Nothobranchius furzeri: one gene and its partners. The protein of the gene in region 2 purifies or fractionates together with the protein of the main gene of each other region. This does not show direct contact. Links are inferred from orthologs where the notes say so. Each region holds a gene or a part of one and is shown on either strand. Other genes may lie near its edges.

Region 1 (5,025 bases), on a different chromosome or scaffold from region 2:
TATTATTTGAACGTGTGATCTGACAAGCGATGCTGAATGGGAGGAAGTGGCACTCGGTTTCCCACGGTAAAATCAAGGAAACAAACACTGATGAGAAGCCGCCAGGATGTCATGGTAAATCCATAAGTCCCTTTCCATAATGACCCACTCATGGAAGAGATTCAAGGTTGTTCTGAGGAAAAGCTGAAGGTGTGGTCTCGGTAAAAAATATTTGAATTGGGATTATTTTGTGTTTGTTTCATTAAGGATTGGCAGGATTTGTTGTTTTTCAGTGGATCAGAGCGTAAAAGGTTTGGGAACTTGTGAGGTAAGAGGGACACTAATGTCCATCTGACTAACAGCAAAATATTTGAGCAGCAAGAAGTAAAAATTACGTTAGCAACACGTTTTTTTACACTCAGCTCATCAGAATCAATTTATTCTGACAGGGCTGAGAGGTCATGTAGTATTTAATATGTGAAACACATAAAAACAAGATCATTCCACCAGCTTGCTTGTTTTCAGCTGTGTTGATGGGAGAGGCTAAAGACAAGAACTCACCCTGTTTGTAGAAGAGCCCAGCAGCGATGGCAGACACGAACGAGACGAGTGACAGGATGCACACCAGATACAGCAGCTTCCTCTCTCGCTGTGTCTTGTCCTGCCAGCATGTGGTACCTCTGCCTTGAAAAAAAGCCACCTACAAACACACACACACGCACGCACGCACAAACACACACACGCACACCCATTAAGTAAACCTTATCTAATCTACATCTTTATACCCTGAAAATGTATGAGGAACCTAATATTTTCCTTTACTAAACTAAACGTTTTATATCAGAGACAACCAAAACGGCACTTCAGTATTGATAATAAATAAATAAATAATAGTAACAACAATAATAATATTAATAATAATAGAGTTGTACATTTCTTAACCTTTCTTTCTTTGCTTACCATAACATTGCAAGTGCTGCCATGCTATCTTCCCAAGGAGGCAAAAAAGTCAAATGTGGGCTGGAGTTGCATTAACCAGATATTCTCTGTTTTCGATAGTTTATTTTGAAATCTCAAGGCTGTTGGTCATTCTGACAAACTGGAATTACCCTGACGTATGCAGGTGCGCAGACGATTTAAACGTTACACACAGAGAACATCACAGAGGTAACAAGATCAATCAAGAGAAGATTCCCATCAGAACATCTGAGCATTATCTCAGACCTGGACACCAGGACCAGTGCAGCGCGCTGAGGAGCTGTGAGAGCAGCTCGGAGCGTCTGCGGGTCACGGCCAGCAGCAGCTGACTTATTGATTAGCCCTAATAACACACTCTGCACACTAAGTCCCCAGGGTCATATTTGAATACTTCTGATGTAAAAATGTCACACACACACACACACACACACACACACACACACACGCACGCACACACGCACACACACACACACGCACACACGCGCACACGCGCACACACGCGCACACGCGCACACGCGCACACACGCACACACGCACACACGCACACACACACACACACACACACACACACACACACACACACACACACACACACACACACACAGCTCTACCAATTTAATTCTAGTCATAGAAATTATTCACTAATTACAGACGCTGAAGATATAATTTCCCAACGTCTGTATGTGAATAAAAGTAGAGAAACGGTTACGTGTCTATGACTTATTATAAAACTTTATCACAATAGTTGACACTGAAGACAAAAGTAAAATTAAAGGAGTGGAAGACTCCTTTAATTTGCTGTCGTTTCTGTTAGGAAAGACTGCCTTGTAAGTTAATCTCAGAGGGAAAAAACACACTGTGGCACCATTTCTCTGACTCAAAGTTGCCAACTTCACAGCTGAGCTTCAGGCAGAATGTTTTGGAGTCCTATTTCCTGATATTTGGAAATCTCTGAATTGGATAACAGCAAAGCGACTCTACTACTGACTTGCAGCGTGGATGCTTTATCTCCACCAATAACACACTGGAGGAGTTCTGTCGTGTGGTGAAGCTGCTAATGCTAACAGTTAGCTTCTAGCTGCTGAGACATTCTCTGTTGTTTCCTGGACACTGAACCAACAACAGCCTTCCTGTTGCGAGTCCAGATGGGTGAGACCATGAATGTTAAGTGACAGTGTGACATAGATCTGTCAGGATTTTCTAATCCTAGAGTTTCACCGTCTGTTTTCTATCAGAAGCTAATGCAGGAGGTAGGTGTAGGAGACTATCCTCATGCTCGGCCTGCATGTTGTAACTCAAAATGACTGATTACAATCAGAAAAGTTTTTTAGTGTTTCACACCTTTAATACATTTATAGAAGCCAAAGAGTCAGAGCATAAACTGGGTCATTTACGTAAAAGGTTTTATAATATGAATGCTTTAAGCAACATTTACAAAATTAATCAATTTAGGCCATAAAAATGTCATTATCCTCACATTTTTATCTCTCATTCGATCTAACATTAACAGCTAAAACTCTTTTTACATCAAAGGTGCCAAAAATAATCTAAAAGACGTTTGGTCCGGTTTAAAACAACAAGATGTGTCACTTTCAGACCTCGCTGAAGTTTGCTGTAATCGTTGTGCTTTAGGTGCCTGACACAACATCCTCCTGGCTGAGCTCTTACCTGCATCGACGAGGGGTAGACATCGTCACCCATGGAGTCCACCAGATCCTCCTCGTCCAGCGTGGCTCTCTTATATGTGGACATCTGAAAAATCAGATGAAGAACAGATTGTCTCAATGCTTCCATGTTTCTTCAAGCCCTATCCATTCCCAGTAGGATGTCTGGAGAATGGTGTTTACTCTTCAGCAGTCCCTGAGGCTTCACAACTGCTTGGCCCTTTAAATTCCATCGGTTAAAAAAGAGAATCGGGTTGTTCTGGTTAGAGCAAGGTTTGCTTTGAAGGGGGAAAAATGTCAGTCTTCTTCTTTGAATGCACTTTTCTGCTCCCCCCGACCCCTCTGACAGCCCCCATGGCTTTAGGCAGACACACGCAGCAGAAATGTCCACCTGAAGAGATGTAGTAAGAACTCCTTGTGGGTTCTCTCTCTCTCTCTCTCTCTCTCTCTCTTTGATCTTTCTAGCCGAGTCAATGCAAACACGGAACAAGAGAACACGGAACTAGTGAAAAACAGGAAGGAGCTCTGACTAGAACGATTTACATGGCTGAGTGAGTGTGTGTGCATGCGCGTGTGTGTGTCTTTGTGCAACCACATTCCTCAATGTGGTTTCACTCAGATTTGGGGAGGGTGTCTCTCACTTCACACCCACTGTTCTTTCTATAGGACACAAAACACAAAGGGGCGGAGCCCAAAAGAGAAGCTCCTCCTCCAGATACACGTTGTGATTGTTTCCTGTTGCACAATCGGCAAGCCAGCCAGTTCCTCTCTGGTTTAGCCCCTTACAGTAGTGACACATGCAAACACTGATGCTGTGTCAGGTTTCTAGAGATGAAAAGCAAAACGTGTCAGAGAAGGGAAAAGAGAGGTAGAGCTCCTTTATGACTCAGACTTGTGTAATAGGAAGTAAAACATACGCAAAAGAAGCTATTTTTCCTGTTAACTGATTTAAACAGTGATGCACCAGTTTAGAGTATTCAAGGCTGATACCAGGGTCTGCAACCTTTACAATTCCAAAGAGCAGTTTTTCCCCACCGTCCACTGGAATAAAACTTGTTTAGAGCTGCAACTGCTATAGGATCTTTAAAAAAGACAGCTTTTACATTTAGAAAAATAACTATGGAAGAGGGGCTGCGCAGTGGCACAGTGATTAGAGCTGTTGCCTTGCAGCGAGAAGGTCCTCCTGGGTTTGATTCCCGGCCTGGGATCTTTCTGCATGGAGTTTGCATGTTCTCCCTGTGCATGCGTGGGTTCTCTCCGGGTACTCCGGCTTCCTCCCACAGTCCAAAAACATGACTGTTAGGTTAATTGGTCTGTCTGAATTGTCCTTAGGTGTGAGTGTGTGTGCATGATTGTTTGTCCTGTGTGTCTCTGTGTTGCCCCGCGATGGACTGGCTCTCTGTCCAGGGTGCACCCCGGCACCAGCCCCCCCCCCCCCCCCCCCGCGAACAAAGCGGGTTCAGAAGATTGATGGATGGAACTATGGAAGAGGGATAGGGCCAATGAAAAACATTGTCTCTTATATTTAGGATTCAGATTTTTTCTGAGATTAAAGTCAGAAATCTTTTTTTTATTTTCGTTTCCGTTGTTAGGTAAAAAAAATACTAATAGGACTTTTGCAAGAGGAGACTATAAATTTTTCTGGATGTTTATATGTGTGGAAGATTATGTAAAAAACATACACAGATCTAAAACTAGTGATTCTGTTATGGAAATTCGATGCAATTATTACATGAAGAGCCATTGTGGAAGGTCCAGAGAGCCTCAGGCTGCAGACGCCAGCTCTACCGACCCACTCTGATTTCACTGCTGTTATTTTTATTAACTTGAAGGTTTTGTTTCTGAAGGAAAACCATGAAAAGAAACAGGTTAGTCAGAGTGAAAGATGCTATACTATAAAACCAAACCTAATTCAGTGAGGTCTGCAGTATATCATTCTTAATACTTCCTTAATAATCTGATAAAGACAATACACAATCCACCTTTAAAGCTGATAACAATTCCTGTGTTATGACAGAACTTCCTGTCACTTAATAGTTTATAAACAAATCCTTTATCATTGCGATGGATTGTTATAACTGACATAACTCGTGTTCTGGAATAAATATATGCCGCTTAAATAACTTGTTTAATATAAACCAATATGCCTGATGACACACATCATTAGTATAACCCCGTTATATCAACACAGATTAGAAATCATTGCAATCACAAGGAGCCATTCCCAAATCCTTCCTTTGTTTTATAAACCACATAAACATCTGACAGATATACTTAAAAATTCCAGTTAGCTCTTGTTTATTTTAAAAACAGAAAATGCTAATTTATTCCAGAGAGGCGGGAACTGCTGTCGGTCTTATCTTAAAACTTCAACAACAATAAAAGGTCAAATTCTTCAAGATTT
Region 2 (5,025 bases):
GCAGATCAGCACCAGTGGCCTCGGGCAACGCAAGAGCCACGGGTTTGAAACGATACGGCTCAAGGTCGCTTGCCTCCTCCAAAAAAAATAAAAAACCCTTCCTCTTTCACCATCTGCTAAATGAGGAGGTGGAGAAAAAGACTCTACCTCAAATGACTGCTCTGAGACAAAGGAGCTAGCATAGCTATGAGAATCTAGAAAATGGTTCTTTTTCTGTCTGAGCAGGATGTGTGTGTGTGCTTGTTTGTTAGCTGCTCAGTTCTCGAACTGAGAACCATCGAGCGCAGGGGGGTGGGGGTAGCAGTCTGTCACTCTCTAGCGCAGATCTGCCCACCTGGTCTGCCAGGCAACACCTCCTTGTGCTTTTTTCAAACAAGAAGTGTGAGTGGAGAAAGACTCAGGCAGGGTGGTGACTTGCTCTTTAAGTCAGGACCCTCACTAATAAAAAAAAAAACCACCACTACCATAGGAAGTTCACATAAAAGTTACCTTAATTCTGTAATTATTAGATCAGCGGGCCCGTCAGGAAGCTGCTGAGATGACACTTCTGATACTGAATCTAACTAAAGCTTGCTGAATTAGGTGTAAATAAATATTGCATCTCACGCCTGCATAAAACATGTCGTGGTGGAATCACATCTAACATGGAGGACCACCGTAGCATCACTCTCAAAAAGCTGCCTTTACATCTTTTATAAAATTTCAAAAGTCTCTGTGTTCCGTTACATTTGCTGTATTCTTATTATAAAGTACAGATGTAAAAATAAAATTATATTTCTTTCTCCTGAGCTTTTTGTTTTGATTTTACCTCAAAACGGCGTCCCTCAACGAAGGGGAAGGGTCCTTCGCGCTCCTCGGGCCCCCAATAACCTCCTAAGTTAGAGTTTCTAACAATGGTTTGCTCATGAAACCGAGGGTTAAAGTGAAAAACCACATCTGAACCTTTGATGAAGTCAACATTGAACCTGAAAAAGAAAACAAATAGTTGTTTTTCTCCCCTAACACCACATCTGACATCAGTCCCATGAGCTGAATGCTATTTGTGAACGTGTACCTGACTGCACCAGGAACAGGCTCTCCGATTATCGTGATTAAAAGTCGCGGCATGATTCCAGCGTGAAGGGGGAGATCATGCGGCAACATCTGCAAGAAACATTTACAACACAAATGAGACAGGCACTTTGTGCATAAATATATAAATAAAAACAGTTTTTACCCGATAAATGACATCCGACAGGGAAGATTCACACGCGTTTAACCTTTATTAACAACACTCTTGACTTGGTAACATACAAGTTTATTGTCAGGAAATAAAGGGAATTCAGTTAAACATTAATCAAAACTTTGACCCTGCCAACATTATTACCACAGCACCTGAATGAGTCATAACTTTCTTCATTTGTTTCAACACCCGGTGACTTCTCAAAGTAATGAAAAAGTAAAAAGTTCAGTTTAACGATTACATTTCCAACACCTCAGATCTGAATCTGTCCTGTAATGATAGAAAATATCCGAGTAAACTTTCATCATTAGGGAATAGATGTTCTGTAAAAATATAACTTATTTAATATTGCACTGAAAGAATTACACCCAGTTTATTGTTTACATTTGAACACAACTGCCATCAGATACGGAATACAGTCAGTCTTTGGCACTAATCAAACCACGCTTTGAAGCTGGAAGTGATGTCCTTGTCCGACTTTTCAATAAAATGGTGGATTATATCTGGGCTGAAAGACAAAAATAGATTTTTCTATGATTCCTTCTGAAAAGAGATTACTTCTGCTTATCATAAAAATTGCACCCGAGCAGTGTTCAAAGACGAAGGAATAAAACCCAAATGCAGCCGCCACCAAAACCAGATCATGAACGTGACCGTTTCTGCTCACCACCTTGACTTGCCACCAAACACCAAATGAGAAATACACCAGATAAGAAGTGCAGCAAGCAAGAAAAATGTTTCCAAGAAGAACAAGTACTCACCAATGTGCCTCCTGGACAGGCTGGCCCCCCATATGGACTCATAGGACTGGACCCAAAAGGGCCAGGTGCAGGAGGAAAACCACCTCCTGCCGGTGCTCCCCATGATCCAGGTGGCATTGGGGGAAACCCACCAGCAGGGAATGCTGGAAATGAACTGGGGCCAGCTGGAGCTGGGAATGTACCTGGACCTCCTGGTCCGTACATCCCATTTCCTCCTGGTTGCTGACTACCAGGAAAAGGCACATTTGGATATGGTCCAGCAGGAGCTCCAGGGCCAGAAGGAAAAGGTCCAGCTGGGTAAGGAGTAGGGCCTCCAGGTAATTGTCCTGGAACTCCTTCAGGGGGATACTGGCCAGGGAACTGCCCAGGTGCCCCAGGACTTGAGGGAAACTGGCCTGGAGCTCCTGGTGCAGGTGGGTACTGCCCAGGTATACCAGGACCAACAGGGAACCCAACAGGTGCTGAAGGAGGTCCGGAGTATTGCCCTGGTGCTCCAGGACCTGAGGGATATGAGAATGAGCCTGGTGCACCTGGGCCAGACAATCCGCCACTAAAGTCAGCAGGTGCTGTGGGCTGGATGGGAGCTCCTGGGGCAGAAGCAGGCCATCCTGGGTTTGAATGAGGCGGGGGATTTCTGTCTGGTACAGAACGATTGGTATTGTCTATCTTAGGCGGGTTTGATGGTTCGTCTACTAAAGCATCTGTCAGCTAGAGAGGGAGAGAAAGTACAATTAGCCGTCTCCACCCACAACAACAGATCTGTTCAACTACAAGCTAATAATAAAAACAATATGAAGGGACGTAAATAGGTGAGTGTAAACATTTTCAACTTACCGAGAAATCCGCCATGATCTAAAAGAAGGAACAAAAACAACTCTCGTGAGTTTATAGTAACCGGTTTTAACAAGCTAGTGTCAGAATCACTGGGCAGGTCTGAGCTCTGAGTAAATGTTTCCATCCTACAACCGTGGAGATTAACAGAATCCATTTTGACAGGCTCCAAACAACTCGACATTACTTAAATATATTACAGTGGAAAGTTACACAAATGCCATGACAGTGAATAGCATATTAGCGAGGAAACAGGAACGAATTTTCTAGTAATATGTTGCAGACTTGGCTACCGATCTAGCTAACACCAGCTAACTGTTAGTAGTTTACGCTTGTTTAGCTCAGATCTGAGTACAGTAAAATGCACTAAAGCGGATTTTTGAACATACCGGACAAAAGCTGGACTTTCCTTAAACCACGGAGGGTAAGAGCGACGAATTATCCAGCACTGGAAACGGTTCAACCTGCTTGTTGTGGCTGCCGAGGCTCACAAGTGTAAGCTAACGTTAGATGTGCTTTCACAACTACAACTCCTGAAAAGGAAAGACGCACACGCGCTTAACTGATGACGTATATTACGGGGTGGGTGCGTTCCGGTGCGCGCGCGCACACAAGCGTCCACAGCGGGGGTTTTTTTTGAGGGGGGGCAAAACTTTTCATAAACCAATCTAACTTTATTTACAATGCACATTTTACACAGTTGGGTTCGGTTGGGTTAAATATAAATACACACATTACATATAAATATAATGTACATTATATACATTATATATCAAATATAAATACATACAAGCCCACGTGGATGAGCAAAAAGGTTGACTACAACGTTTAGAAAATGGGGAAAAAAAGTGTGTGTATGTGTGTGTGTGTGCGGGCGCGCGTGTGTAACCAGTAGAATCGATCACAGCCAGACTGAGTAAATGAAGAATGAATGATTACAGCTCCTTATTCCTGATATATATGCAAGAATAAAATGTAAATATTTATTTTTATGCTGTGAAATTAAACTGGATTATTTAAACAATGTGTTAATCGTGCGGTTGTATCATTTAAAATAACGTTTTACTGCTGAGCTGAATGTATTGGGCAGGGTTTAAGTGAAGGGGTGCCTGTTTGGGATTGGTCTAACCAGTCACAAGATGATATGAAGTAAACGAAAAAAAAAAACACAGAAAGCGTTCCTGCCATTCACAACAGCAGCAGAAGCGTTAGGAGGGATTTTACGCAGCAACAATGGTGAGTTGTTCTGTTTGCTTGTGAACGTGGAGTGGCGTCGTTGTCATTTTTGTGTTTTAATAACGAACTCTTCACAAATTAATTCTGCGAATTATTTATGAAAAGTCGCAGATTGTAATTGTTAGCTTGTTAGCCTAGCATTAGTTCCACCCTCTTTTTGTGTATCGTGGCAAGTTTGTCAACGCACATCGAATATGTTTCCGGTCAGTATTTTCAGAATAAAATAGATTTATTGGCCTCGGAAAGCAACATGCATGATCATTTATCAACACACATTATTTATATAAATAATCTCTGACAATTTATGTATTAATCATTACCTGTTGATTGTCAAATTTGAAATTGATTACTTATTATTCAAATGTGTGTATTTTGTGTATTCGACCCACTCAAATGAATAATTGATGATTAAAAATATATAATATCCTTTTAATAATTTATTAGCAATAGCTGTTTCAAGGTTGTGACCAGCTATTGTGTTTTTACCGTTGAATCGGCTAGTTTGGGTAAATTTTCAAGTCCAGATGCTTTTACTGTGAAGTGCGTGGTGTCGTGTTCCTGCTATGGTGCGTAGGCAGCTTGACGCATCATTCATTTGTCTGATGATGGGTTTTAACATGCCTGGCTTCTGGGAGCTGCTTTTACGCTAACTCGCCTTCTTTTTCTGATGAATTTCCCTTCGGGTCGTTAGGACTGTGTCGTGACACCTTGACTCTTTTCAATATAAATTTATGCTGGGTGGTTATTTCTCATTTCGTGTCATTCGGAGTGGTAGAACATTATTATTTAGATAACACAAAACCATTTCCTGTTTGTTCTATACAAGAAGTAACCCCGTGAACTATTTTACTGTAATGTAGTTTCTCCAATGGTGCATCCTTTTTTCTTATTTCTCTCCATGAACCCTGTCTCAGACATAAATCTCTTCTTAATCTGTAAAATCTTCCTCAGAGCTGAGTGAAATCCTGACTCCAA
Region 3 (4,715 bases), on a different chromosome or scaffold from region 2:
CCAATGGTGGACCTGCTGGGGCTCCCGTGGAGCGCGGCTAGACCGACCTGCAGAGCAGAATTATTTAGCTTCAGCTACAGTCTCTCTAGATTTCTTGGCTAACATTTGGGCTGGCCCGATGAAATGGAGACATGATACCATGAAGGGAAATACTCTAAAATCCCCAGAGGTTCCCGGGGCTATAAGAGTTGTTACATACGGTATGTGATCCTTATTCTTTACTCGTCATGCAAAAATCAGCTGGAACCAGTCGGTTAGCTTGTACTGCTAGTCTTCTGAAAATCAGTAAAGACTGAAAGTTGTGTGGTTTGTCCCTAAACTGTACCACTCACACCCAGGCTAACACACAGGAACACGACTGCTGTTTGGGCGTGGTTTCCTCACAAGTCCCCACCCAAAGCTGCAACACCCGGCTGTTTCTTCTTTTTGGTGAACTGACGCACACGTGCAGCCAGATGTAGCCTCTCTGCGTCCATCAGCTTCAGTAACGTCACTTATTTCAACCACCAGCTGCCCTGACTTCCTCCCCTGTGAGAACATCTCAGGACCTTGACTCCTTGACCTCAGTAACATCAGCAAGAGGGTTTTCTATTTCAGCGGATTCTGCTGATCTACCGTTTCTGCTTTTTTCTCTTTTCCAGCAACCAAAGCAGAAATATGAACAGACTCTTAACAACAACCGCAGCGTATAGCAACCTGATCAAAACACATTCGGATTAGCTGTCTCCATTTCTATTTATGGAAGCTTATTAAACAACCAACGTGGGGCATCCTCACTACTGCCCAAGTGCTTAAGTGGATCAGAGGAGACAACACATCTGCTCAGGCTTACAGCCAGTCAATCAGCACAGCCACTCTCACGCCTTTAGAAATTCTGTTATTGCACACATCCAAAAATAAACTACATACAACTTCTCTCCTCTGAATCGGGTGAATGTGCAGGCCATCCCTCTCACCTGTTGACACGACTAGAAGATGTTTTCTACTGCCTCTGTGCTGTAGGTGGAAGTGGAACCTGAACAACATCGCTAAACTTTAATTATAGCTCATTTTTCTGTTGGACTCCATGAAGCCCTCAACCAATCAGAAACCCAATCACTCTTACATTCAAATAAATGAAATCCTTTTCTGTTTAGAGGCTAAAAACCTATGAGAACAGTTAACTCGTTAGCAGCCCTGAGCCGGACCACTGACTTGTACCTGTGTCATGTGTATGGTGGAACATACTGGCTCACTGACATGAGTGAGGGGTCACCATGAAGCACTTCTCAGGACTCTGCCACTAGACAAACTTCTGCATTCTGACAGTTGTGACTGAGGAGGGATGTCTGCTCGGATCTGAGTCAGGTGTGACAGAAGTAGAACACACTTCTTCTTTCCAGCCCAAACCATTCATGTCTCACCCCGGGTTTCCACGGGAGCCGTCAGCAGCACGTTACTGCAGAAGCACGTCTTGCTCGCGTAAGCTGCTGCTTGGCCCTTCCCACGAGACGCAAAGCAGCAGGGGAGCAGCTGTCACCGACCGAGCACGAAGTCACACGAGTGACTTCGTCAGTAAACACAACAACAAGCAGGAGAAAACTACAACATGGTTTGTGTTTTATGTTCTGTCCGTTTTATAATCGCCAATACGGACCTGAAAAACAAAGGAGACCGCTAGCTAGGTGATAACTTCTCACGGGTCCGCACATTTAGTAACTTTTTTAAAAGTAAAGCAACCGGAAGGAAGTACATTCTTTATTCTGAAAATCTCGGAAGCTTCTCTCCATTTCCGCGTCCGATTTCCGGTCTTTCCTTCCCCAAAAATGTCGAACTTGACCCGTTTCAGAGGCGCCGCGTGTAGAAAATAGAACCGGCGCGTAAAGGCCGCGACATGCTGCTCCTGAGACGCGGCCGACTCGCGCTGCTGACGGCTGCCGAAGGCTCCAGTGGAAAAGGTTCTGTTGACCACAGCGGTTCCTATCAGCAGCTATGACGTGCTGCTGCAGTAACGTGCTGCTGACGGCTCCCGTGGAAAGCCGGGGTCAGTCCCAACACCTGCCATCACACGGCCAAATAAGATCACAGACAAGTGAGCAGAAAACTCTGAAAGATTTGGTTCATTTACACATGGACTCTGATTAACAAACACATAAAACAGGGATGTAAAATATATGGATGCACTGAAATATTGCAATATTTGGTTTACGAAATGAATCAACATTTTAAAACATTTGATTTTTTGTGGGAGAATTTCCATGCAAGCTTTTTTTGTGCTGTAATTCAAACTCTGACTGCTAGGTGGCAGCAGATTTCAATCGCCTTCATTCTGACGGAACAACGAGGTCTCGTGAGAACACGGAGTGTTTTGGAGGCGTCTGACCCTGGTCTTTCAATTTAAAATGACATTTATTATTTGGCTTTCAGTACTGTGATGTATGGCATTGTTTCTCGTGTGATAAACATCGTATCACCAGATTCTCGTCGATATCCACAACTGAAAGCTCAACAATGTAGAGAGGACGTACATAAAAACAAGCCAGACTCATGGAGGTAATCATGACTCTGCCACACTCAAAATACAGCCTTATAAATCTCCTCCACAACCACACACGCTGCTACAGTCGCAAACACAACTGTGCACCAGTGTGAGACGCTCCACTGGAGAACATCTGGTTCATACCCCGTCTGTGTTAGTAAGTGTGACGTTCACCTTGCTCTATGCTGCAGTGATCCGGTGTGCCGGTTCCTCCTCCTCCCGACGCGGTGTTCGCCACACCTGCCTCACTGAGCCCATCGCTTGGATCGACACTCTCCCTGGAGCCAAAGTGAACTCGGTTGGACGGACGAGAGCTGAGGTCAGGCGACGTGTCGGACAGTCCCGGGAGGTCCTCGGCCTTGGTGGGCGTCACAGTGAAGCGGACTGATGCCATGGCAGCTTGCTTGGAGAAGTTAATAGAGAAAGGGGGGGGGGGGGGGGCAGGTGTGTGCCAGATGGGATAAAGCAGAAGAGGGGGGGTGGGGGTGTGTGTGTGTGTGGGGGGGTTGTGGACCAGATTAGCGGCACTAAGCTAGGCTATCTCCCAGCTGATGCTGAGGTAACAGTTACCTCGACTAGCTCTCTTTTGTATGCTAAAACACTCCATGGGAGCGAGCGGGTTGGGTTCTGACTGAAGGTTTGGGAAAAGTTCTATTTGTGACGACACACTCTTAGTGTGTGTGATGGTAGTGAAGCCGGCAGATGATCGGCTTTCTTCAGAAATGTGTCAAAACTATTTCTAGCAGTTAAGAAAGAGTAAAGTAACTGTGAGAAGCTGACTGGGCCGGTTTCTGGTGACAGAAAGCTGATAACTGTCCTCCTCTTTACATTTTCTCCTTTAGACGTATCTAAATGTGTCTGACATGCACCTTGCTTTGAAAAGTGACCTTCATCACGCATCATCAATCGTCACAAGAGTGGTGTAAAAACCATGGGAGGGAAAGACACGGGTGCAGCAAAAGCAAAGAGACAGGAAGAGGAAAACACAAAGAGATGACTCAGCATTAGAAACTAGTTCCATGAATGCGAAATAAAAACTTTTCAGTATTAAAGCGTCTGTGATCCCGAGTTTCTCGTCAAATCAGGCAGGCACAACAAGAAGTGTGTCATGAGCTTTTCTGGGAAAAAAATCTATTTAAAAGATCAACAGACCCTCTTCTGTTGCATCATAAAACAAACATCCATCCACCGTTAAAGCAGAAGTCTCTCTGTTTGTTACCGTTCGATCAATGATCTCAGAAGCTTCAGGTTCATTTCCATCTTTTAGTGAATGGGTCACAAATGACGGAGGTGTGTGAAGCAGCAGCGTAGCTCATGTCCCAGATGTCCCACTAGAGTCACCTAACACCTGAATCCTGGCAGAACAACAGCCAGACGGCTGCTTTACTCTTTTCCCTCTTTTTCCTCAGCCTTGGACAATAATTTAATAATTAAAGGAGAGCGGTTCCAACCGGTTGTGCCAGAGAGATCCAGCTCTGGCTCTGCATGCAGAGGCAGGGCTGGATGCTGCTTCAGGTTCTGCTGGGGACCAGCGCGCTGCTCAGAATGAAAGCAGGAGGTAGAAAACAAAAAGGACTTGATTTCTACTGTTTCTGCTGCATCATTTTCTGTTCCAGACCAGAGAAGAAGATGCAAAACCAGACAGAGACGATCTGAATAAATAAATATAAAATGCAGATTTTGAATAATAACTTTATTAATCAAACAGGTGATCCACACCAGCCTGGCTACATGTGAAATAGTAACTGACCCCTAAACCTAAAAACACTTTTGGAGGCAGGCGTAATCGAGCACATGTTATAACCGGTAATGAGTCTCTCACAACGCCACAGACGAGGTTTGGGCCATTTCCACCATCAGAACTTCCAGGTCATTTTACTGGACCTTTACGGCATGTGTCTCCATTTCCTCGGACCAGCTCAAAGGACCAGATCCTGGGACCTTACAGGGACCTAACGAGTACCTGAACTCAGGTGTGTATTCAGAAATGACTTGCTTCTATAGAACACGCCATGGCGTATTTCTGTTAGAGACCGTTTAGCCTCCTTCATGTAGCCAAATGATAAATGACCCCCACTTGTACAGTGCCTTTCAGAGTCAGAGGACTCCAAAGTGCTTTACACTACAGTGTATCATTCACACACACACACACACACACACACACACACACACACACACACACACACACACACACACA

Evidence for each region. The genes of interacting proteins can lie anywhere in the genome.
Region 1: the proteins of lgals3a (region 2) and ece1 purify together in Homo sapiens (affinity purification with mass spectrometry; 3 studies listed by BioGRID and IntAct, counting the BioPlex papers as one, with this or other methods). This does not show direct contact. The link is inferred for Nothobranchius furzeri from reciprocal best matches to the Homo sapiens genes LGALS3 and ECE1.
Region 3: the proteins of lgals3a (region 2) and solute carrier family 12 member 6 purify together in Homo sapiens (affinity purification with mass spectrometry; 3 studies listed by BioGRID and IntAct, counting the BioPlex papers as one, with this or other methods). This does not show direct contact. The link is inferred for Nothobranchius furzeri from reciprocal best matches to the Homo sapiens genes LGALS3 and SLC12A6.

The regions. Positions count from the first base shown.
Region 1 is NC_091743.1:76,780,128-76,785,152, reverse strand, and holds the start of ece1 (endothelin-converting enzyme 1), read right to left. Parts: upstream 2,954-5,025; 5' UTR 2,752-2,953; coding exon 2,626-2,751; intron 680-2,625; coding exon 541-679; intron 1-540. UniProt on the Homo sapiens protein: Converts big endothelin-1 to endothelin-1.
Region 2 is NC_091758.1:19,582,919-19,587,943, forward strand, and holds the start of lgals3a (galectin-3), read right to left. Parts: upstream 3,352-5,025; 5' UTR 3,204-3,351; intron 2,836-3,203; 5' UTR 2,833-2,835; coding exon 2,818-2,832; intron 2,692-2,817; coding exon 1,984-2,691; intron 1,144-1,983; coding exon 1,055-1,143; intron 966-1,054; coding exon 809-965; intron 1-808. Other genes in the region: gmfb (glia maturation factor beta), read left to right, coding at 4,048-4,050. UniProt on the Homo sapiens protein: Galactose-specific lectin which binds IgE. May mediate with the alpha-3, beta-1 integrin the stimulation by CSPG4 of endothelial cells migration.
Region 3 is NC_091742.1:80,339,934-80,344,648, reverse strand, and holds the start of solute carrier family 12 member 6, read right to left. Parts: upstream 2,954-4,715; 5' UTR 2,913-2,953; coding exon 2,693-2,912; intron 1-2,692.